Struthio camelus: one gene and its partner. The protein of the gene in region 1 purifies or fractionates together with the protein of each later gene. This does not show direct contact. Links are inferred from orthologs where the notes say so. Each region holds a gene or a part of one and is shown on either strand. Other genes may lie near its edges. The genes, in order: SBF1 and MTMR1.

Evidence for each region.
Region 2: the proteins of SBF1 (region 1) and MTMR1 purify together in Homo sapiens (affinity purification with mass spectrometry; 4 studies listed by BioGRID and IntAct, with this or other methods). This does not show direct contact. The link is inferred for Struthio camelus from reciprocal best matches to the Homo sapiens genes SBF1 and MTMR1.

What each region holds. Positions count from the first base shown.
Region 1 is NC_090942.1:787,218-799,379, forward strand, and holds the start of SBF1 (myotubularin-related protein 5), read left to right. Parts: upstream 1-6,863; 5' UTR 6,864-6,958; coding exon 6,959-7,013; intron 7,014-7,621; exon of another isoform or gene 7,622-7,932; intron 7,933-12,162. UniProt on the Homo sapiens protein: Acts as an adapter for the phosphatase MTMR2 to regulate MTMR2 catalytic activity and subcellular location. Promotes the exchange of GDP to GTP, converting inactive GDP-bound Rab proteins into their active GTP-bound form.
Region 2 is NC_090952.1:13,546,061-13,558,352, reverse strand, and holds the start of MTMR1 (myotubularin-related protein 1), read left to right. Parts: upstream 1-7,778; 5' UTR 7,779-7,823; coding exon 7,824-7,930; intron 7,931-8,378; exon of another isoform or gene 8,379-8,478; coding exon of another isoform or gene 8,479-8,534; intron 8,535-10,568; coding exon 10,569-10,674; intron 10,675-12,292. Other genes in the region: MTM1 (myotubularin), read left to right, coding at 482-574, 1,436-1,549, 1,886-2,062, 4,470-4,637. UniProt on the Homo sapiens protein: Lipid phosphatase that specifically dephosphorylates the D-3 position of phosphatidylinositol 3-phosphate, generating phosphatidylinositol. Could also dephosphorylate phosphatidylinositol 3,5-bisphosphate to produce phosphatidylinositol 5-phosphate.

The DNA of each region.
Region 1 (12,162 bases):
ACGTAGCCATCCATGACAGCATTCCAGTCATGTGAACTATCCCACCACATCTCTGTAACTGCAATGAGATCATGGCCCTGCGACCGCACACAGATCTCTAACTCTTCCTGCTCATTCCCCATGCTGCGTGCATTGGTATACAGGCATTTCAGAGAGCCAATCGAGCATGCAGGCTCCCCAGGAGAGGTGCAAGAGGATCCTCCATAGCCAAGTCCCGTATGCACTCCCCTGGCTGTATGTACCTGCTGGAGGCATCCTGACTTGAGGAGTGTTTTACCCTGTCACTATACCACTCCCCTTCCCCCATCTTGCCTAGTTTAAAGCCCTCCTTACCAGGCTGGCCAACCTGTTGGCAAAGACGCGCGTGCCCCGCTTGGTAAGGTGGATCCCATCGCTCCCCATCAGCTGTTGATCTTCAAACAGGGTCCTGTGGTTGTAGAAACCAAAATCCTGCTGCCAACACCAGCGACGCAGCCATTAACTTGAAGAATCTGTCTACTCCTCCTCCCATCCTTCCCCCTCACAGGCAAGATTGAGGAGAAAACGACCTGGGCTTCCAGACCCTTGACCACCATTCCCAGAGCTCTGAAGTCCTGTTTGATGGTTTCCAGTTTGCCTTTTGTGTCATTAGCGCCCACATGGAGGAGCAGCAGAGGGTAGTAGTCCGATGCATGGACAAGCCTTGGCAGTCTTTCCACGACATCTCTTATTCGAGCCCCTGGCAGGCAGCAAACCTCTCTGGGCAAGAGGTCCGGTCGGCAGAGAGGTGCCTCTGTCCCCTGCAGCAGGCAGTCACCCACAACAATCACTCGCTGTTTCTTCCGGGAGTTCCTGCACGGCACAGGGTCTGCCAGGCCAGTTGCCTCCCTTGGAGCCATGCCCAGCTCCTCCTTGGCTTGGAGGGTGCTAAACTTGTTCTTCAAGGGTAAGTCTTGAGGAGGAGCAAGAGCCTTTCTCCTTCTACGAGAGGTCACCAGCTTCCAGCTCTCTTCAGCAGTGTTATGATGGACCGTTACACACAGTACAGAGCCCTCCGACAACTCTGCTGCAGTGGGGGCTGGGACTCCTGGAGCTGCACAGCCTCCGAGAACGCCCTGTCCATCTCCTGCTCATCTTCTCGGATGCTACGCAGCCTACTCACTTCCTCCCATAACTCCTTGACCTGACAATATAAGTGATAAAGCACAGCACACCTCACGCAGGAGAGCTGACTGTCAGCCCAGGCCTTGCGGAGAGGCCCCAGGCACTGCCTGCAGCCTGCCACCTGCAGAGCTGCGTCTGCTGTCCGAGGGTCTGTCTGGGTTGAAGCCTCAGCCACAGCCGATGCAGCACCTCCAGCAGCCACGGGGGAACGTGCTCTGTGGCGTGTCATGACCATGCCCGGGGAAGGACACAGTGCTATGGGAAATGAAGGTGCCTTCTTGCCTTCTGGCGCCCTTCTGCACAAACTGCTGCGTCTGTTGGCTGCCTCTGTTCGCTGCGCCCAATTTGTCAAGCAAATTGCTGCAAGGTGGGAAGGAAACGCTGAAAAACTCCCGGGCCGTAACCGGAGTGCCGCAGCGTGCCAGCTGCGGAGGTGCAGGTCCACATCCCGCCTTGGCCCGGCCCCGGAGCCGCGGGAGCTGCGGAAGCCACGGAGCCGGGAGCTGGGGCCGCGCTGGGACGGCCGGACACAGCAAAGCCATCGGTGCTCGACGCAACTGTCGTCGCGCTGGCACCTGCACACGCGGCGGGGCCGGGGCCGGCGGCAGGGCCAGCGGGACGCGGGGAGCAGTGGCTTCCAAAACTGTGGTCGCTTGAGTCCGCCCTAAGGTTTTTAAACCTGAACTTATTTGTCAGGGGCCAGGACAGCAATTTTCCGGGGTTTTAATACCCCTTAGTAGGGAGAAGCAGGAGCTTTGCCGGGGCAGACGGCTGTGTGCTGGGGCTTCGCGTCCGCGGCTCAGCCCGGGGCGCGGGGAAGGGGCGGCGAGCGGGGCGGTGAGGCTTGCGGGTGACACGGCGGTGGGCCGAGCTGCAGGGCAGCGCGGAAACGAGCATCCTGGCGACGAAGCTCAGACTGAACCCATGCTAGTGATTGCCAGGCTGTGTTTAAGGGAAAAAACGCTGTTTTTAACACAGCAGTGTTGTGTTTGTGCACAACACCGAGCTCTTGCTGGCCGAGAGACGGTCCGGATGCTCCAGCCGAAGGGAACCGGCGAGAAGGTGCTGGGAGGAGGCAGCCGGGGCAGGAGGTCGGGGGCGCCCCAGCCTGCACGCAGCATCCTGCCATGGGGGCGCCGGCCCCGGGGAGCGGAGGAAAGGGGGGAAAAACGTCGCGGAGACTCTGAACAGCTCCCCGGCGAGGGGCCGGGGGCCAGGAATGGCTTCGGAGGTGGGTGAGGGACGTGGGGCTGAGCGGCCGAGCTGCGTCTGGGGAAAAAGGGGGATGAGGGGCTGCCGGGCCAGCAGGAGCCACATAATGGCTGGGGGGGCCCTGTCGCTGCCATCCCTGCTGGGGCCATCTCTGCTGGTGCCATCCATCTTGGTGACATCGGCACTAGTCCCGTCCTGTTGGTCCCATCCCTGCCAGGGGCCATCCCTGTCCGTGCCGACCCTGTCCAGGCCATCTCACAGAAGGGCTGAGGTTGGCAGGGACCTCTGGAGATCAGCCAGTCCAACCCCCTGCTCAAGCAGGGTCACCTAGAGCACATTGCACAGGATCACATCCACACGGGTTTTGAAGATCTCCAGGGAAGGAGACTCCACTACCTCTCTGGGCAACCAGTGCCAGTGCTCTGTCACCCTCACAGGAAAGAAGTTTCTCCTCATGCTCAGACAGAACTTCCTGTGCTTCAGTTTGTGCCCGTTGCCTCTTGTCCTGTCACTGGGCACCACGCAGAAGAGACTGGCCCCATCCTCTCGACACCCTCCCCTTCAGATACTTGCACACATTGATGAGATCCCCTCCCAGTCGTTTCTTCTCCAGGCTGAAGAGTCCCAGCCCTCTCAGCCTTTCCTCCTAGGAGAGATGCTCCAGGCCCTTCATCATCTCAGTAGCCCTCCACTGGGCTCTCTCCAGTAGCTCCATGTCTCTCCTGTCCTGGGGAGCCCAGAACTGGACCCAGCACTCCACGTGAGGCCTCCCCAGGGCTGAGGAGAGGGGCAGGATCACCTCCCTCGACCTGCTGCCAACACTCTGCCCAATGCACCCCAGGATGCCTTTGGCCTTCTTGGCCACAAGGGCACATTGCTGCCTCATGCTTCACTTGTTGTCCACCAGCACTCCCAGGTCCTTCTCTGCAGAGCTGCTCTCCAGCAGGTCAGCCCCCAGCCTGTCCTGGGCCAATGGGGGTTATTCCCCCCAGGGGCAGGAGCCTGCACTTGCCTTTGTGGAACTGCATGAGGTTCCTCTCCGCCCAGCTCTCCAGCCTGTCCACGTCCCCCTGAATGGCAGCACAGTCTTCTGGTGTGTCAGCCACTCCCCCCAGTTTAGTAGCATCGGCAACCTTGCTGAGGGTGCACTCTGCGCCTTCATCCAGGTCACTGATGAACACATTGAACAAGACTGGACCCACGACTGACCCCTGGGGGACACCGCTAGCTACAGGCCTCCAAGCAGACTCTGCACCACCGACCACAACCCTCTCAGCTCGGCCATCCAGCCAGTTCTCAATCCACCTCGCCGTCCACTCATCCAACCCACACTTCCTGAGTTTACCTAGGAGGATGTGAGGGGAGACGGTGTCAAAAGCCTTGCTGAAGTCCAGGGAGACAACATCCACTGCTCTGCCCTCCTCTACCCACCCAGTCCTTCCATCACAGGAGGCTAGCAGGTTGGTCAAGCATGATTTCCCTTTGGTGAATCCGTGCGGACTACTCCGGATCACCTTCTTGTCCTCCAGATGCTTAGTGAGGACCTCCAGGATGAGCCGTTCCATCCCCTTTGCAGGGGTGGAGGGGAGGCTGACAACCCTGTAGTTCCCTGGCTCCTCCTCCTTGCCCTTTTGGAAGACTGGGGTGACGTTTGCTTTCTTCCAGTCCTCGGGCACCTCTCCTCATCTCCAGGACCTCTCAAAGATGAGCAAGAGTGGCCTAGCAGTAACATCCAGCAGCTCCCTCTGCACTCGCGGGTGCATCCCATTGGGGCCCATGGATTTGTGGATGTCAAGTTTGCACAAATGATCTCGAACCCGATCCTCCTGCACCAAGGGAGAGTCTTCCTTTCTCCAGACGTTCTCTCTTGTCCCCAGGGTCAGGAATTCCTGAGGACTGGCCTTAGCAGCGAAGACTGAAGCAAGGAAGGCATTCAGTAAATCTGCCTTCTCCGTATCCTTCGTTACCAGGGCCCCCGCCCCATTCAGCAGCGGGCCCACATTTTCCCTAGTCTTCCTTTTGTTCCTGATGTATTTGAAGAAGCCCTTCTTGTTGTCCTTGACATCTCTTGCAAGAGTTAATTGCAAATGGGCCCTTAGCCTTCCTCATTGCAGTCCTGCACACTCTGACAACGTCCCTATACTCCTCCCAAGTGGCCTGTCCCCTTTTCCACATTCTGTAGAGTTTATTCTTCTGTTGGAGTTTTGTCAGGAGTTCCTTGCTCATCCGTGCAGGTCTCCTGCCTGCTTTGCTGCACTTCTTCCTCAGAGGGATGCACCCGTCCGGAGCCTGGAGGAAGTGATGCTTGAATATTAGCTTTAATGCCGATCCCTCCGGTGCCATCGTTCCCGGTGCCGTCGTTCCCAGTGCCGATCCCTCCCGGTGCCGTTGTTCCCAGTGCCAAGCCCCCAGTGCCGTCCCGGCTGCCCCCGGCTCGTGCCTCCCGGCGCCGGCACATCCCGCCCTCGGCTGGTTCCCCGGTTCCATCCTCCTCCCGGCGCTCGCCGTGCGCCGGCCGCGCTCCGTTCCCTCCGGCGAGGCTCCCGGCTCACGGGGCTTGGCCGTGGCGGCGCCGGCTCCGCGCCTGCCCAGGGAAGGGCCCGGCTCCCGGCCGGCGAGTGGGGGCTCGGGATGGGGAAAGCCTCCGAGCGGGAGCCACCCGGGGCCGGGCTGCGGGGCGCGGGTGCCGCTGGTGGGGGGTTTGGCCGTGCCGTGGGTGCCTGGGCCCCGCACCGGGTCGCTGCGCGGGGCTGGGGTCAGGGCCGTGTCTGGCAAGGGGCTCTCGCTCACCCCCGGGCCCAGCCGCAGCCGTAGCGGGGAGGGGGCTCTGCGCACCTGGGGGGCCATGCATGGGGGGGCCGCGCACCGGCGGGGCCATGCACCAGAGGGGTCATGCACCGCGGGGGGCTGTCCACACTATGAGGGGACCGTGCACCATGGGGGTGTGTGCACGTGGGGGGCCGTGCACCGGGGGGTGCTGTGCACACTGTGGGGGGACCGTGCACCGTGGGGGGCTGTGCCCACTGCAAGGGGGCTGTGCACCAGGGGGCTGTGTGCACCTGGGGGGCCGTGCACCGGGGGGTGCTGTGCACACTGTGGGGGGACCGTGCACCGAGGGGGGCTGTGCACACTGCAAGGGGGCTGTGCACCAGGGGGCTGTGTGCACCTGGGGGGCCGTGCACCAGGGGTCTGTTCACATCTGGGGGAACTACGCATAGTGGGGGACCGTGCACTGTAGGGGGCTGTGCACACCTTGGAGGGGCATGCACTATGGGGGCTGTGCACACTGCAAGGGGGCTGTGCACTAGAGGGGCTGTGTGCACCTGGGGGGGGGTGTGCACCATGGGGGGCTGTGCAGCCTTGAGGGGGGCCGTGCACCGTGGGGGTATGCACATCTTTGGGGCCATGTACCATGGGGGGCTGTGCACACCTAGGGAGATCATGCACCACGGGGGACCATGCACCCAGCAGGAGGGGCCATGCACCATGGGGGTGTGTGCACCTGGAGGGGCCGTGCACCGGGGGGGGCTGTGCACACGTGGGGGGACTGGGCATGCCTGACAGGGGCATGCGCAGTGGGGGGCTGTGCACACCCAGGGGACGGTGTGCACAATGGGGAGGGCGCCCAGGCACAGCAGGAGGCTATGAGCAGCCAGGGGACTGTGCACATTGCGGGAGGGGGCCATGCACCGTGGGGGACTGTGCACACCTAGGGGGGCCGTGAAAACCCGGGGGAGCCATGCACACTGGGAGGTGGGGGGGGGGCCATGCACCGTGGGGGGCCGTGCACACCCGGGGGGCCGTGCACACTGGGAGGTGGGGGGGGGGCCATGCACCGTGGGGGCCGTGCATGCCCGGGGGGGGAGGGCCATGCACATCCCGGGGGCTGTGTGCACCTGGGGGGGGCCATGCACCATGGGGTTTGTGCGCATCTGGGGGGGCCATGCACACTGCGGGAGGGCCATGCGCCGTGGGGGGGGGCTGCACACATTCGGGGGGGGGCAATGCACACCTGGTGTGGGGCGTGCACCGCTGAAGGAAGCCATGCATGGTGGGGGGGGACATATACAAGCGGGGGGGGGGGGAGAATCCATGCACACTGGGGGGGGGCGCTGTGCACACCAGGGGCCCAATAATCGGGGGGACCGTGCGCAGGGGGAGGGGAGAGGCCGTGCCTAGCGGGGAGCCGTGCACATCGCGGCGGGGGGGGCATGCACACGGAGCGGGGGGGGCCGCGCACCCCGGGCAGGACGCTGCACCCCGCGGCGGCAGAGCACCGCGCACCCGGGGGCCGCCCCTACGGGACCGGGGGGGGGCGGAGCCGCCTTGGCTCCGCCCCCACGGCCAGCCCCGCCCCGCCCCCGGCCACCAGCCCCGCCCCCTATCCCCGCCCCCTCGCGGCGCGCCCAATGGGGCGGCGGCGGCCCGCCCCCGGCGGCGGCGGCGGCGGCGGCGGCGCAGGCGCAGTGCGGGCGCGGCCGGGCCGGGCCGTGCGAGGCGGCCAAGATGGCGGCGGGCGCGGGGGTGCGCCGCCGCGCGGGGAGGGCCGCGGGCGCCGCGGGGCTATGAACGCGGCGCGACTGGGGGCGCGCCCGGCCTCGCCATGGCCCGCCTCGCCGACTACTTCGTCCTCGTGGGCTACGAGATGGACAAGCGCGGTGAGGGCGCGCGGGGCGAGGCCGCCGCCGCCGCCGGTGGGGGTGGGGGGCGCGACCCGCTGTCACCCGCGGGGGGGGGGGAGGGGCGCCGCGCGCGGCCGTTGGCGCCGCCGCCACGCGCGCACGGCGGGGAGGGGGGAGGGGCCCCCGCGTTGCCACGCGCGCGTGGGGCCGGGCGCCCCCTGCGCTCCCCCCCCCCCGCGCGCTCCCGCGGCGGGGCTCGCGCGCCCGCGTCGCGCGTGGGGCGGCGGCGGCCGGCGGCTCCTCGCGCGCGACCCTGAAGCGTCGCGGTCGCCCCCTTGGCGGCGCGAGCCGCGTCCACGGCGGGGGACAGTGCCGCGCGTGTCCGCCCTCGCCGGCGCGGCGCTGGCCGAGCCGCAGGAGGGCGGAAAGCGGCGCCCCCTCCCCACGCCCGCGGGTGGCCTTCAGGCGCGGAGCGCTGCCTTCCGTCCTCGCCGCCGAGCGGGCTTTCCGCTGAGACACGCGCCTTCCAGGCTCCCTTTCGGCAGGTCTGTTCTCAGGGATGTTGTCCCTTTGTCCTCGGCCTGCCCGTGTCCTTATCCTCGGCGCTGGGGGTTGGCTCTCCTCCCGGGGTGCTTTCTTCTCACCTCTGGCGTTTAGCTGTTCCTGGTGGGAGTGAGCTTCTGTCGGCCTCGGAAACAAGGTTAAGCCTGCACAGAACGAGGAGCGTTTTACGGGAGCCTGTGCGACACGAGGAACGCTTCACAGAACCTGCGCTGAGAGCGTCTGAGCACCGCGTGTTCCCCGAGCAGGAGACCGTTGACCGAACTTGTTAGGACTGATAGAAGGGAATCCTCTTTCACGCACCCCGTGTCTCATTACCCTGCGGTTTTGATTATTACAGGAAGTTGTTGAGGCTGAGAGCTTAGCTGAAATTCTCAGCGGCCGCCTAGCTCTGTGGATGTAAGTGTTTGCGAAGTTGGGTGCTGACACGCTTCAGGATTTCCACACTGATCATCGATCTTGTCTGTCTTTTGTTCCAGAGCAAACCGATCGCCCCTTACGGGACCAGGGGAAGCATTTGGGTAGTGCAGAGTGGTACTACATTGCGCAGTAGAGCTGCGCTGAAAGGGCAGTTTCAGGAGAGCAATTCCAGAGTTTGGTCTGGAGAGTAGAAAGCCTGGTAAAGAGTTTCGGTGTCTTTGTGAGTTGCGTCTGATCACACGGAGTGGGGTTTATTTCGGATGCATTCCCCTGATATTACAGCATGCTGTAGTATCGGACAGTGGTTTTGTCCTGGTGTAGGAGAAGGAACTCTTTTTACCCAGAGCGTCCTCGTGCCGTCTCCAGGTTGGATGTGTGCGCCTTTGAGATCTGTCAAACGATGGTCAGCCCAGGCCTGTGTTGCCTGAGAACAGCTGCTGTGATCTCGGTAGAAATTAACAGGAGACTGGGAAGATGATTTGCAGCTGGACCACCTTTGACTGATTTCTGCGCCTTGTCTCTTGGGCTTCTAAACGTTTTGCTCCGCATCCTTTGCGCAGCTCAGCCTCCCTCATGGAATTATAGTAGCTACTCATATATGCAGCATAAAACTGGTGGTGGTTTCTAACAGTTACTAGCTGATCAGATGTGGCGGGGCTTGTAGAACAGGTGAGCGTTTTGATCGTGTGTTCCTTGTCTTAAGTTTTGGAAAGCTGGGTTTCAGAAGGGAAAAAGGGATGTATAAATGCCATGCACCCTTGGTGTCATTTGAGACTGGTTCTGGGAAGACGGACAGTGCTGTGGGGTTTAGTGGTTGATTTGAGTGGGACATTAGAAAGGAAAGAACTTGCGATTAATTATATTCTTCTGACTTAAGTATTCACTTAAAAAAAAAAAAAATCTGATGCATGTAATATAGGCCACAGAGCTGTCCTGAACTCATTTGTAATTGAGCTGGTACAGATCTTGACAAAACATCCAGTCTTGACCTGAAAATCATTAGTGGTTTTTTTTTGGTAGTATAAAAAAGCACCACCAGCTGAGGACCTTGTCCCAGAAATTAACTGTCCCACTTAAAAGCGTGTTTTATGCCTAGTTTCAGCTTCTGGCCTTGGATTTGAGAGATCCTCAAACCAGAAGATGCGGGCATATTATCATCAGCTTTGCTCCCTCTAAAGTACTTTTAGACTATAGTAGTGTTGTCTCCTCATCAGTGATGTGATTGTAAGTTGCAGAAAACTTCCGAAATTGTTGTTCAGGTGAACAGAATTCTTAGTGAAGTGAGGCTGGAGGTGTGCGGGGTCCGAGGTTTGACACTTGCTTCCCGACCTTGCTGCTGCCGCCGCTTCCGTAGGCCAAACGATGGAATTCTCAGCTTGGTATTTTGGCGCTGCCGCTGGGGACTTGGAGTCCTCGGGGGTCACTTTGCAATGAGGTTTTGTGATTGAGGATGGTTGTCTGGGATAATACATGGCTGTAGTCTACTCCATTTTTATACAAGTCAGGTGTGCTTTTTGCTTCTGGCTGTTGGCAATTTCTTAGCATCGCTCTCAGTCAGATAGTCCATGGCGGGAGGTGCTGAATTCTATCTTGGTTGCACTCAGGCATCAAACAGTCACGTGCCTTAAGCATGTCAAGGCTACCGGATTCGAAGGAGATAGTGTCCAAGAGAGCCTGAGAAACTTCCCCTGGCGAACTTGCATTTTCTTGCTGTTCAGATCACTGAGGAAAAAGTTACCTCAACAGAGTGAAGTATTCAAGAATCAGGGCAGTTGCACACTCTCAACCAAAGAACAAGAATGAAACTTGCCTGAAACCTTGCAAATGGCTGTTCTGGCCAGTGACACCTAAAGCAAAAAGCCTTTGCATCCCAGTTTGCAAGCGCCCAAGTGCTTTCCCAAGCTATGTGAAGACTGAAGTATGAGATGTTCAGAAGCAACGCTTGCGTTTAAACAAATTGCTAAGCCCTCATGAGAACTCGAGAGGATCAGTCTGCTAATGATGCAAAGGTTGCTTGATTTCTTTGTGACTGATTACTTGATTTTGGGGGTCAATCTGGCAGCGTTTATTCCCCACTTCCTGTTGTTCTGTTTTCACGTTCCTCCTCCCTAAAGGGAGCTTAGATAACGTTTGAAGGGAGGGCATGCTTCTCTCATCTGTGAGTGACTAATTGCTTTACTGGTTGGGTTAGTCTTGACAGAGCTGTAACCTGCGTGACAAGCTGCTTCCCAGGCCAATGGAGGCACCTCCCTGCCAACCGTAAACAAAACGGAGCGCATGGCGCTGCTGGGAGAATCTATCACAGAAAGGCCTTTGAGGGTTTGAGCTATGAAAAAATTAGATGGGATCGCTCAAGCAGGGAGGGAGGGAGGGGGCTCTGTTCTGTGTGGATTCCAGATGTGTCTATTTAACAGAGACACAGGAGGCAAGTTTGCATGCAGTGAAGTGCCGTGGTTTCCGAGAATGTCCTATATTAATAGGATTAGTGGTCAGCCAGGGACAGATTTGTGGTTGGGGACAGTGAAAGCAGAAGGTGTGTTAGGATGGTGGAGCTTGAGGTAGCTCTGCGTGATTTCCAGAGGTGTTAAGGTAGCCCAGTGCAGTCAGTTTCATGGGAACAAAAATGAAAGCTTGAGAAAGCAGCTCAGTATTCTCGAGGAGGAGGCAGGAAACGGGGTTTGGCAGAGCCAGCATGAGACTAGAGATGGGGCAATGGTGCAGTCTGGCATGTTCAGAATGTTTGTTTAGGTTTACAGTCAGCATCTGTTCCTGGTGGAGAGCATTATCTTTCTGGAGAGGCCTGCTCTTCCACTTGACATACAATCTTGTGATGCAAAGTCACGATGGCCTCTAAAAACACTGAGTCTAATGGCGTTCTTCTCATCTGGAAGTAAGAGTGAAATGATTGTTAACCGTTTCAAGAAACACGTTTGAATGTGAAACTAACTTCTCCGTGGTACAGTGTGAGATCTTCAAGTTGGACGATGTGATTATGAACTAGGCCAGCAGGCAAAGATTCAGCTGCTTTTCCTCTAGCTCAGTGAAGTCTCTAATTTTGCAAGCCACACGCTAATGTGCCGAGCCGTTGGATTTCTGCCTCTTTGTCAGGCAGGGATTGTGTTCAGTGAAGCAGAATCCTGAAGCGTTACAATGGACTGAATTGTCTCACCAGAAGCTGTGGCTGCCTGATGCTGACTTCCAAACGCTCCAGTCAGTTGTGACTGCAGGCCGCAGCTGCTCTGTGTGCTGAGCCAGTTTTCAGTATCTCTGCATCTGCATGTTTGATCTACTGTAGAGTTTAGTATCACGGGAGACTGCTTGTATGCTTCAGAGACCCCAAATAAATGTATTTGAGCGAATATGCCCCAGCAGAAGGAAATGGATCTTTTCGTATGTGAACGTTTGTCGTATTGTGTCATGATTGTTCACGTTATTCTCTGTAAATGGATGTTTTTAAATCTCTTGGCTCTTATAGTTCTGTTGTTGCTGACAAAGGGCTGCCTAGCAAAGCCAGGACTTCTGGCTGCTTTTACCCCCTGGACCTGAGAGATTTTTCCCTGTGTGTCCCTGGTGGCCTTTTTTAAGAGTCCAGATCTTTGAAAGAATAGCTCAATTTCAAAGTATGCTTAACATGGATGAAGGCCAGTCTTAATTTTGCTGTGTGGGGCACTGGGTGAGGTATGGCCCTTTCTTTGTGGGAGCTCATGATTTAGAAAACACAAATTTCAGAATAAACCTTTAAGATCCTACTGCTGCTTCTATCTGTGTCCGAATTTGCAACTGCCCTTCTAAACGTCTTGCCCTAACGCTCTTTATACGCACTATTTTCCATAAGCATGTTCTGTACCTTGGTTTTTGGTGGCCTCTTTAGCTGTTGGAGTGGGAAGGCAAAATTCAGATTCCAGGGCTTGACACTAGAGGAAAAAAATCTTAATTTAAAGGGCTAGCTCTAAACCAGAATTGTTAATTTGCGTGTGTTTATTCTTACCTATCCTAATACTTTTCCATAACAGTTGTTCAGGTTGTTGCTTAAGCCCTCTGAACTTGTGTTCCTGTTTGCTTTTGTGCCTAAAAGGATTTGTTTAATTCTCATTCACAAAAGTCATTGCAGAGTAAATCTGCAGGTAGTCTATGTAAGGAAGATTTGTGATCAGGTTAATTTTATGGGTGCATTAGGGCTCTGATGGATGGAAACCCTCCTGCC
Region 2 (12,292 bases), on another chromosome or scaffold:
TTTCTTTGAACTCAAGTCACATGCATTGTCTACCTCAGAGTGAATCTTCAGGTTTAAGTGTGCAGGGAAGAGAGGAGCATCCACCTGGATAGTTTAGTGATCTGGGTTTTCTAGTGGCTTAAATTACCCAAGGTGAAGTGTATGACTTTTAGCTTTTGATAGATGGATTATGTCAATATAACTCAAAATGTATCTTTACTTTCAGTGTAATGGATGCTTAAATGCTTGTTTAACTAGCCCCTTTTCATAATGGGCCCAGTTACCACCTTGGGCTTTTTCCTGAACATCTTTGGGATAGTTTTGCCATAATAGTTCTGTGCATCTGAATCTCTTCTGATTGGTGTGAAAACTAATTTTGAAACCGGAAATTTGGATAGCTCTGCTACAGAAGCATTAATACTTTAGTGTAAAATAAGAAACAGTGTCTATTGGCCATAAAATAGACTATTTTGAGTAACGAGGCTTTATTGCTACATTTCAGAGAATAGGCCATGGTGATAAAAATCATGCTGATGCAGACAGATCGCCCATCTTTCTCCAGTATATTGACTGTGTGTGGCAGATGTCTAAACAGGTAGGTTATATTGTTCTTCAGAACGTAATGCTGTTAGGGGTTTACTGGACTTAAAACCTAGATCGCTAAAAATTGTGTATTGCAAGAGGAGAGCATACCTGTCTTTTTGCTCTGACACTATAGTCACATTTTCTTTTTAAGTATACCATCCTTCACTATCTCTAAAAGTGGTATGTGAGGCTTAGTCATGTTGCTTAATAAACTATCAGCCATGCATGAGAGGATGGATATGTCCTAAATACGTGCTTCTCTAACACTTTTAGAGGTGTGACCCAGCAGAATGTCTTTGCAGGAATTGTGACTGATGAGCTTATTGGGGTCTGTTTCATTTCACCATTTAGCAAAGCTGTTTCTTGAAGTACAAAGACAAGTTCTGTTTTGTCAAAGCTTGAAAAGGAAGCTTGGGAGCTGTTGAGTGCTAGGAGTTAAACGTTTTGTTTTCAGTAAGTAACGAGAGTAGCAAACCTAGTACTTTTGGGGCCTAGAATTAGGAACTAAACCCTTATCTTCCTGTATGGCATTGCAGTATTAAGAGTGCAATCTACATATGTTGTTAGGGGAAATGTTCTGGCTGACTAATACCAACGGAACTGTAACCACTGAGTTTTGCTTTGGGGTGGAAGGGGGAGTTTAAAGATATAATTTTTGAGGGGGTAGAAATTCTTGTCAATAACTAGTTTGAGGCAATTGAACACTATGATATCTGAAGGTTTACTCTGTTATAAAGTACATATAAAATATGATCTTAAAACTCATTTTTTTAGATGCATCTAGGCTTCTAAATGCCTTTTTTAGCCCCTTAACCAGGGCATGTACATCTCTGTTTCTACAATGTAAAGAAAACTTGTCTTTTTGTGCTAGTTTCCTACAGCCTTTGAATTCAATGAGCAGTTCTTGATTACAATCCTGGATCACTTGTACAGCTGCCGGTTTGGTACTTTCTTGTACAACAGTGAATCTGTTAGAGAAAAAGAGGTCAGTCAAACTGATTGTTTAATTGCATTGCTGTCTTGACTCTAGATGATTACAGAAAGCTTCAGTTACATTCCTTGTGCCACAGTGTTTTTGAACTGTCTTTTTCCTGGTTGTGGGGTAGTTGAACAGTAACTTGTTTGGTTTTGGTAGCTTAAAGACTCTGCAATCACTAAAACACTCTTCAAGAACTATTTTTGGAATATTTCTAATACAGTAACTTATTATGCGTCTATTTGAATCAGAGGTCTATTATTTTCAGAATGTAACCCTGGCTTCTGTGATAGACTTGCTAATTCAGTGTGAATGTTTACAGTTTGTGTTTCATTTTCATTTTAGAAAGTGACTGAGAAAACATTGTCATTGTGGTCTTTGATAAACAGTGAAAAATCTAAATTCACCAATCCTTTTTATACTAAAGAGCTAAATCGAGCACTCTATCCAGTAGCCAGTATGCGTCACCTAGAACTTTGGGTCAATTATTACATCAGATGGAACCCAAGAATTCGGCAACAAGTAAGTGAACCATCTAAAATGTATGAAAGGCTTTTAGACTTTGGAAATAGGATTATATTTCATGAGTGTAACTTGTAGGTTAATACCTGTAATCTGTTTGGATTTCTTAATATATTTGTGAGGATAGGAGAGAAATGTGAAAATGATTATTTGGTCCCATTCTCTGACATCGCCCAACTCTTTTCCAGAACATTGAGCTTATTTCACTGCTTAGTATGAAGTCATCTTTGAGAACTGCTCCGGGGGAGGGGAGGGGCATTTTTAAGAGCATTTAATGATACGAAAAGATGAATAACAATGCTGAGAAATAGTTTACTGATCACTGGAGAGTTAGTATTGGCATCACAAGCACACTTGTCACATTTGCCTAATATGTCTCCTTTTTCCAGGATAATGTAAAAAATCTTTTACAAGTTAGGATGATCTGTGCAGTGTTCTTAGGATAACTGAGAATGCCATTTGTATTGGTAGCTTATGGCAAGGTGTTTTTTTTTTTTTTGCTAGAACTTGGACCTGAATTGTTTACACAGAGTAAGCACTGGATGAATTCTCTTCTTAATAAGACAAGTGGATAAGATTGGAAACCCAGGGCAGCTTTTATCAAATAAATAGTTCAGTTTTGTGCATTTTAATTTTTAATTGATATACGGGCACTTGTTTTTTTTTTTTTTTGTTACAAACTTGCTAAAAATCTAGGCAGCGTAGCATGTAAAGATACAGCATACAAAGACTTATTTATCCTTCTTAATAAGTTGTAGAGTTCTGAGTAGGAGAAGAAGAAAGAGGAGCAATTTCCTTGACAGAAACGGTGTTCACAGTCCAGGCCCTGGAATGAATTGGGAGTTACCAAGCAATGCAGTTCCTTTTCTGTAGTTGCTCTCCTGCAATGTTTACAGAGCTCTAGAGGCTGGAAGAAATCCAGACAGTATACTCTATTTTCTTACAAGTATGTTGCCAGTTTTAATTTGAAGTTCTCATTTTAAAGCTTTTGTTGCTTGATGTGAAAGATGGTGGCATTTTGCAAGAGGTGAAACCAAAGATTTCTTTTAGAAGGTGAAGGATTGTAGGGCATGCAGATTAGTTGTAAAACTGCTTTAAAATGCTCTTTGCCATTTTTCAGGACAGGTGTTTGCCAGTAGAAGCTTCCATTTAGAAATGCAAATCCATGTGACAGTCTTCTGTTGCTTCTGCCAAATTTGGGTCCTTTGTTTTTCCACCATTTTTATACATAAAAAATTCAGTGAGATTTCTTCTGTTGCACATAAGTGAAGATGAAGCATTATGTTTTTAAGTGACTAAATAGGCTGACCCATGGCCTGAAACAACTTTTTGGGATGGACCTTACTTAGTGTCATTACTTAGAAGCATGTTGGGCGTCAGACTTGGACTAAGGAAGAATCTGGTCTGTTACTTGCAACCTCATTAACCTTACATCTCCAGTTATCTTACTACATTCAATCATTGAAGCAGCTGTAGAAGTTGGATCCATATTCGTTGCCTGCCTTAGCTGAGGCTCATATTGAAAGGTGTGCCTAAAAGGCATTGGTTTACCTGTTTTTTGGACTGGTAGAGGGTTTAAGTTTGCTGCTGAAACTGTACTGCTGATAAAATTAAGCTACAAGCACTTCTGTGTGAAACAGCAGCAGCTCCTTGAGAGAGAGAAAACAGCTGACGGTAACTTAAGGCTCTGTATCTGTCTGGGACACTTGTAACGTTTCTTCTCCATTCTGTCTATCTGTGAAAAGAAATCTAAGTTGAATAGAAATAGTTAAGCTGCTCTTGATGTGAATAATCTTCTGAAAGCTACAGCATTGACTTCTTTTAAAGACATTCAAGTTTACTTGTGGATTTCACTAATAAAAAGTATTGCATTTGATTTATTTATACATAGTTGCAAAGTCGCTATTGAAATCTGAAACACCATCAGTACCGGAAGTTATTTAATCTGAAGGCATAGATTTTATCTTAGTCTGATCAGCGTAGCTAAAATCACCAGTCCGGCTAAACTGTTTTTAGAGAGAAGGTGAGGCATCTAACCTCTAGAATTTAATCTGCTCATAAGAAGAGAAAAGCTGAAGACTAGGTGTTCATACCTATTTTGAACAGGATACTAGGTAATAAGAAAACAATCTGTATGCTTCAGGAACAAGTCGTGCTGGTGGATTGATTTTTTTTTTTTTTTTTTTGAGGAAGGAAGAACTATTTTATGTGAAGCAAGCTTTTTTTTGGATCACAAAAATTTGACACAGAGGGCTCAAATATAATGCTCTTGCATTGTAGAAATAGATATTTCTATTTGGCTACCCCTTGTTAGATATGTCAGAAATAGCAAGTATGGGATGGAACCCTAACTGTATGGAAGTAGCTAGACTAAAATGATAAAAGACTAATTTGGGTCTCTTTCTAGCAGCCAAATCCAGTGGAGCAGCGTTACATGGAGCTCCTTGCATTACGTGATGATTATATGAGGAGACTTGAAGAACTACAGATCACAAATAATTCTAAAATACCCAATTCATCAGCCTCATCAGCATCTTCCTCGCAAATGATGTCCCAAGTACAAACACATTTTTGAAGAAAATGTTGGCTTCTTTCTACAGTGTAATAGCAAGAGAGGTGATTAACAAGGAGGCGTAGTATAAAGACAAATGTTTTAATGCCTTACATTGGATTGTGACATTGGATTGTGTCCTAACACAAAATATTTTAGACTGCCTTCATTTAAGGAGGACTTAAAAACACACAAAACCAACTCTTTAAATATGTGCCTTTCGGAACCTGTGGATTGGGAATGTTAATAACCAACTTCTAGTTATGGAGTGCTTAGACTTATTTTGGAAAGTCTGGTACAATTAAAATGAAATTGATTTATTGTTTTTTCTAAGAATGCTTTAGTTTATGACACTTAGGTCATATTCCTGTAAGGAAATTCATGCTTGATCTTACATGTTGTGAATAAACATGCTAATGTCAATAGGAATATTCACATTGTGTAAAATTAGGTATGTGTGTAATCCTTTTAGGAATAAGACTGTGGCCTTGAGACAAAAATAATTTATATCTTAAGATTTCAAACGGAAGTGTTGAAATGTTCTAGTTACCTGAGGATCCCAATTTCTGTTTTAAATGAAAACGTGGAAGGAATTTCTCTATACTTCTAAGTAAACAGTTCAGATTGCTCAGTAGGTATCAATCCAAGAAAAATCTAATTTTTATTTTTTAAACATGCAGATTGAACTGGATTCTGAGAAGTCATATTTTGGTTAACTGCTGAGCCTTACAGTATACTACAGATTATCAGTGTTGGCTGTATTGGTTCTGTGGATTCTTACAGAATAAGAATGGTTTCCTAAAAAAGCTTATATAATTTAAAAAAGACCCACAGGGACGTTGCTTAAATATCCAACAAGAGCAATTGTCTTAAAGCTTGTGTATGGCTTCTAAAACTAAATGTGCCTATTTAGAGCAGCTTTTATACCAAAGTAGGCAAAAATTCTCGGTTACAAATACTGTTAAACTTATAAATATATAGCTTACTGTTTAATGTATATTTAGCTTTGGTTAATGAATTTATTCTTAAGTATTTAAAGGGACTTCAGTATACAGGATTTGCATATAGTATGTGCACTTACATTGAATCTTTCAGTGAATTCTGGCTTGAAGCCTTCATTTCAGAGGCTTCTTGTAAACCTTTCTAATTTGCTCCTTTCAGGTATTTTTAATAGTTGCAAGCACTTATGACTGCACAAACCTTGCTACTTGATATGTAATTAATGTTTTGCATATTCTCAGAATTTTAATGATATTCAGGCAATCCAGGAAATCTTGCCATTCAGAATATGTAGAGGACTCTAATATTGTTATTTTAAAGGAAAGGTTTTGATGCTTGAGGCTTCGATCATTGTAAATTATTGTACATGTGAGTTTTGATCTGCAAAATATAATAGGATTATGTATAAATTTAAGTTTTGTGCAAGTGTATATATAATATAGTTTATTAGAAATTCTCCAGGTTTATGAAGTGTAAATATTTTGCTTATGAAACTAAATTTAAAGCTATAGTTCCATAAAGTAAGTCAAAGTTTAGAGGACACCTGAATATTTTTAGAAACAGTATTTTTTCAAAGAAATAGATTTACCACCTCTTTAATTCAGTATATACACTGAATTGCACTATTTTTTCAGGGACGTTCAGAAGATACTGCGTGTGTGTTTTCTAAATGCACATGACTTATACACACTTATTTTTGTCCTCTAAATCTCGTTCTCCCTTGGATGTTTTTCAGTGTTTCCAAAGTAACAGCATTTAATCTTGTAATCCCAAAATCTTGGTATGTTAAATGGGATGCGTTGCATCTGATGAAGAATGATACTCAATTGATAATGGTAAACTTTAACTTTACTACGTTTTGAAAACGGCATACTCTGGTATATTTGCCTTCCACTTGCTTCTGGCCTATAAAAAGGAAAAAAAAAAGCTAATTTTATTGAAATATTTGAAGTTTCTGTATCTCAGTTGAGTGCACTGATGTCATCTCTGAGCAGTATGGAGGAGTGCAGAAAATCTAACAGTTTTTACTGTGTAAATGCTACCTGATAGCCCATTGCATTTGTGAAAGTGTAACATTTGAAAGGATTTTTTTTTCCCCACTTCATTGCCTATATACTGTTCTTCATATTACCGGTTCAGCTGAATTTCATTCTTTGAAAATCTAACATAGCTATGTGTGCGCTTGGATTTTTTCAAGTCAATGAATAAAATATTTGTTTTAATCCTATTAAAAATTGTGATATTAATTAGAAAAATGCTGGTGTTCTTTCTGGGAAGTGCTGCCTGTGCAGTTACTGTGACTGCTGGCGTACAGGGGTCACCGGTGGTAGGAAGCTGTCCCCGCTCGCCGCGGCGGGGCCGGTACCGGGCCCCCCCGCCCCAGCCCCCTTCACAGCCGCGGTCGGGTGCGCTGCGCGTAGCCGGTAACTCGGTAAGGGCAGTTATTCCTGTTGTAGCAGAGCGTAAAAACTGGAAGGCGTTTGAGGGGGTGAAGGAGAAAGGTGGGTGTGGGGGGGGGCCAGAACTGGGGTGCCAAGCTGCGGGTGCCTGACACCTGCTGGGAAATACTGAGGTGCAGACCTCCCCGTTTCCGCGTTTTTGCTCCCGTGGGGCGCTGGGCCTTCGCTACTTGTTTCGAAAGCTGCCGCTGAATGCCTGGCGTGGCGCCCCTCCGCTGGGCACCCGCGGTGCGCCCCCTCCGCGGCTCCTGTCAGACGGGGCCGGCGGTGCGCTGACTCTTTATTTCTGGTTTTCCGAGCGTGTCGCGATGTTTGGCAGCTCGAGCCTGACAAGCGGCGGCGGCGCCGCCGGCCCCCCGCCCTCCGCCCCCGCCAGGCCCGCGGGCGGGCGCCCTTCCGCCACCGGAAAAGCGCTCGGCTCCTTCGTCGCTGCGGAGGAGTCGCTCGCTCCCCGTCGGCGCCGCGTCGGGGGCCGAGGCGCGGCCGGTCCCGCGCGGCGGGGCAGCCCCCGCCCGGCGCCCTCCGCGCGCCGCCGCTGAGGCCCGGCCCGGCCCGGCGGCGCCGCCCTCCCCCGCCGCGCGGGGCCGCTGCCGCCCTCGCGGCGCCGCGGAGGCCTGTGGGTAGCAGCGTCGCCGCCGCCGCCAGGTGACAGCTCGGGCCGCGGCCGGGGCCCGCGCGGGCCGGGCCGGGCCGGACCGGACCCGCCGGTTGCAGCAGGGCGAGCGGGCCAGCCAGCCCCGGTGCCGGCAGCATGGAGTGGGCGGCGGCGGCCGGGCCGGCCCTGGAGGGCGGCGGCGTGAGCCGGCGAGCCGTGCGGGCGGCGGGGCCGCGGCAGGCCAGCGCCGAGACGCTGGACAGGTGAGCGGCGGCGGCGGCCCGGCCCGGCCCGGCGCGGGGCGCTGCGGGTGGGGGCGGCGGGCGGCGGCGGCGGCTCCGCGCCCCTGCGCGCCCCGGCCTGGGCGGCGGCGGCGGCCTCCCGCCGCCTCCTCGGGAGCTGGAAGCATCGCTGAAGATGGAGCGGCCGCGGGCGCTTCCAGCGGCCCCGCCGAGGCTGGCGGCGCTACCAGGCTCCCTCAGCCGATGACGCCGTTTGGTAACCGAAAATCCGGTTTTTTTTTTCTTTCTTTGTTTTTTTTAAAACAACCACGCAAGCACAGGGCGGATTTTCCTCTGCGAGTGAGCTGGTTCTTGTAAAAGTTTCCTGCTTGCGGTACTGTAGGTCGGGTTTGTTTGGTTTTTTTTGGTGTGTGATTGGCGTCATTGTTTTTGTGCAGAGTGAGGCTGCCTTCAGGATTTTGGTTAGGGTTTTTTTTTCGGGAGTACTTTGACTTATCTTCGTTATGTCAAACGAGACCGTTCTCAGGGTTTAGAAGTATTTTAATTTTTTGTTTCTGAAGTGCAAGTGTATGTTTCATCTACAGATGGATAAGGGCCTTAAATCAGGCGTTTTTCGACCCCAGCGGTAGGTCGGTTCTTTTGCGGATGTGTAGGTCTTCCGCGCTCGGTGCAAGTTGGGTTTTCTGTTGGCTTCAGGTTGGGGGGTTTCGCCAGTAAATACCTGCTCAGGAGTCTGGTGCCAGGTGTTACTGTATCTAACTCAGAGCACCTAAAGATTAGAGTAACTTCTTATGTAGAAATTTCTCTTTGGAGACAGCCTTCAGAGTTTAATTTAAAAATCCTTAAACGAGGATTAGAAGCAAACTGAAACGTCGCCTAATTTAAGCAAAAAGAAAACATATTTTATTTAAGAGTTGGTACCACATTCCACTCTCCATATTTCTCCATCTTCGCTCGCTTTCCTGTTAGGAGAAGCCAGGTGTTTCACGTGGCTCTAGTGAAGGTGTAAATCAGATGTCCGTCTTCTGTCACTAAGTTTTCCATATTTTTGTTCCTTGCTAATGTACTTTTTCATCTTCCCTCTTAATTTTCACCTTCTCTTTCTCTCCTTCTGATCTTCTTGTTACACCCTAGAAAAGTTATAATGATGGTGTATTATAATGTAATTTATTTATTTACCATTATGGCTGTACCAGGATAAACTAGTGTGCATGATGATGGATAAACTAGAATGAAAAGATATATACTGGTATGTTTCCCACTTCACAGATTGTAATAATGCCATATTGGTATGAGTACACTGATCACAGGGTGTGTAAGCGCTTTCACATTAGTTTTCCTAGTCATGTTAACTGTTTATCTAGTGATTCCTAGTGAAAACAAGTTACAGTAAAAATAAATCTTTTTCAAAAATAAGAAGTAAATACATAGCTGGAAACAAACTTTGGCCAACCCAGTAGACAGTAGAAATTCAGCAGTATGAGGGAAGGAGAAGTAAAGGAGATCAGAAAAGGATTACTGTAAACTTCTAGCTTCTGCGTTCTTTTGCAAAACATGAGGGAAGGTTTCTCTAAATGAAGCTGAAATCCAGTTCAGCACTGCCCTCAGATTTGTGTTCAAGTAGGAATGTAATAGACATTTTAATAACAAAAAACATTTTATGAACTGGTACTGAGCAGGGTTTTGCAGGTGGGGAGAAAAATATTAAAATTTTTGTTGTTAGAGTTCTTGGAGTTTTTTGTTTCGGGTGTGATTTGTTGTTTTTGCTACATGCACGGTCAATTCATACCTACCTTGTCCTAGCAGAGTCAATGTGTTAAGACCAGACCTCTAGTTAATTTGTAATTTGTCATCTTATACCAGTATCACACCCTCTTAACATCCCAGTTGTAGCTGTTCTGTGTTGTGTATGTTCATGGCGTTGTAGTTGTTCACTTCAGTGTCCCAAGTGCTCCCAAAATGTATCACCTCAAATTAATTACAATTCTACTGTTAGATGTCTTGTCTTTAGGCTTCTTGTGAACACGCCACATTGCAGAATTCATTGCTGTGGCATGGGAAGGCCCATCATAAAGATTTTTCTGAGATTATTTGATGAATACCAAAAGGAAATATGGCTAAATAGAAATTGCTGTTTAGAAAATATGTATTTTCTATGTGTAATATTACTTACATAGAATACTTCTAAACAACACTAGAGTAGCTTACGTTTTTAAAGATTAGCCCAGAGTTGTTATATTTTAAAGAGAATTTCTTGACTAACAACAGTGGGAAAAGTAAGGAGTTTTTTTACAGTATTACATGATCAAATTCATTCCATGTATGGCTTTAAGAAAAAAAATATATATGTATCAATGTTGAACAAGTTACGCTGGGTAAGGAGACAACATTTTTATACGTTTCTAGGACCCTAGCCATACTTTGGACCTATTGACAGCTCTATGCCTCAATAAGTTCTAGTAAAATTAAATGATTTCTCTAATTTGATCAGCAAAATAGTTGTGTTCTGCCTACTGACATCGTAAAAATCAGAAAGCTGATTTTTATGACCTTAGTGATCATTTATGGTCTTGTTCTTTAGTTATGCTCAGTTGGTATACTGTCGTCAACAAAAATTTTGAGTTATTGCTAAATAATTTGAAATATTCTGTTTTTGTAGCCCTACTGGATCACATGTTGAATGGTGTAAACAGCTGATAGCTGCAACCATTTCTAGTCAGATTTCAGGGTCTGTCCCATCAGAAGGAGTGTCCAGAGACTACAGGGTAAGTGACCTGAGGGGTGCAGATTGGCTTATTTATGTTAAAGGAGGGAATGATCAGGAAATTCCTTGCTACCTTGATTGTCGGGTGGTAAGTACGTAAGTGATATGTGAATGTTCCAAAACTAGAAGCGTTTCATGACGTTTAGGAATCTTTAGCAACTGTTCTCTGCTTACGTGCATAGTCTAGAGTAGTGGCATTGAATTCTACAGAATAAAATAAAATAGAGAAAATTAAAAGTCAATATTTTACATAAAACAGCAAAAGTGAGTTGTTGTTCCTTTGCATTATTACATAGAAGTTTTCAGTAAGATAGATTAATAACTGGAGATTGAAATGTTTTCTTTATTCTAAATGATGCACGGTACAATTTAGCTTTTCAGATTTCACCAAAAAAAGAATGTCTTTGCTACTCTGCAAAGAACAATATGGCTTCTTTTTTGCCTTATATAAGGGATTTCACCAGAGACAGACAAGTTAACACCAAAACCAAAGAGCGTACCTTTTTTTCTTACCCTCCCAGCAACATTTCTATCACTGAGGTAATATTGTGCAGTATGGTTAACCTGATAGGATTCGTTACGTTTTTTACCCGTCCTCTTTCAGGCTCTTTTACTGTTTGCTGTATATGCAGAAAGCCAGCCTGGAACTATCAAGAGTAGAGCATCATCAGTTTTCCTCCTCTTATAAATGGGCAGAAGTCTCACCTGCGTTTCAAGTCCCTTTAAGAAACCCAGGCTGCTATTATTTAGACCACAAAATGTACTATCCTTTTTCTTCCTAGTGTTGACCTATCGTTTTATGATCTTCATGCAAAATGGGCAAATAAAATTTGTGTCTTCGGCTTTTAACTAGGGTATAATTATTTACTAAGCTCTCTGTGTTTGAAAAGTTTGGATGTTGTCTAGAGAGGGCGTATTTTGACTTCTGCGATTGCAGGTCAAATTCAGCTCCAGCCTGAAGATGAATCCACTAAGTGTATTTGATCTTAGTCTGTTTAAGAATTCACCTCACAGAGATTGTCACTATATTGGCACAGTCAGCAGCTTATGCTCGTAAAAAAGGGTAGCTCTTCCATGCTATGGCAGCTGAATTGCAAGTGCCTGCTCTCGGTCAAGGCTAATGTCTTTGATAAAACATTGTGGGAAACCTTGCGTTACAGCTGCCTATGTTGTTTTTGCCCTGTAGATCAAGGACTTCATTTTAGTAAACTCTTAAGTTTGGTATTGAGTTTATCTTCTGAGTCATAATGCGTTCCTCTGGAGTAGAGAGTGCTTTTTTATTCTAAATAATCTGCTTCTCTCGTTTTGGATGTTACTTAAGAGGAATAAATCTTTTGAGGCCTAATTAAAAACTTTTAACTCTGTTTTATTCTCTCTTTCTTAGAAATGAAAGAAAAGGGTTGAACCTTTTGGAATTCCAAATTTTTTGTGAATAAATTGTATTTAGCTTTTTTCATTGGTATGATTTTAAACTCCTATATTTGTGTATAATACCATGGAATTTTTTGCCTTTTACATTCAGGATGGGTGTGTTGTAGTGTATTGTGCTTTAGGAAAGGATTTCCTTTGCACTTAGCTTCTGCAGAAGTTCAGTGCTGCTATCAGTTGCTTAGGCCGTA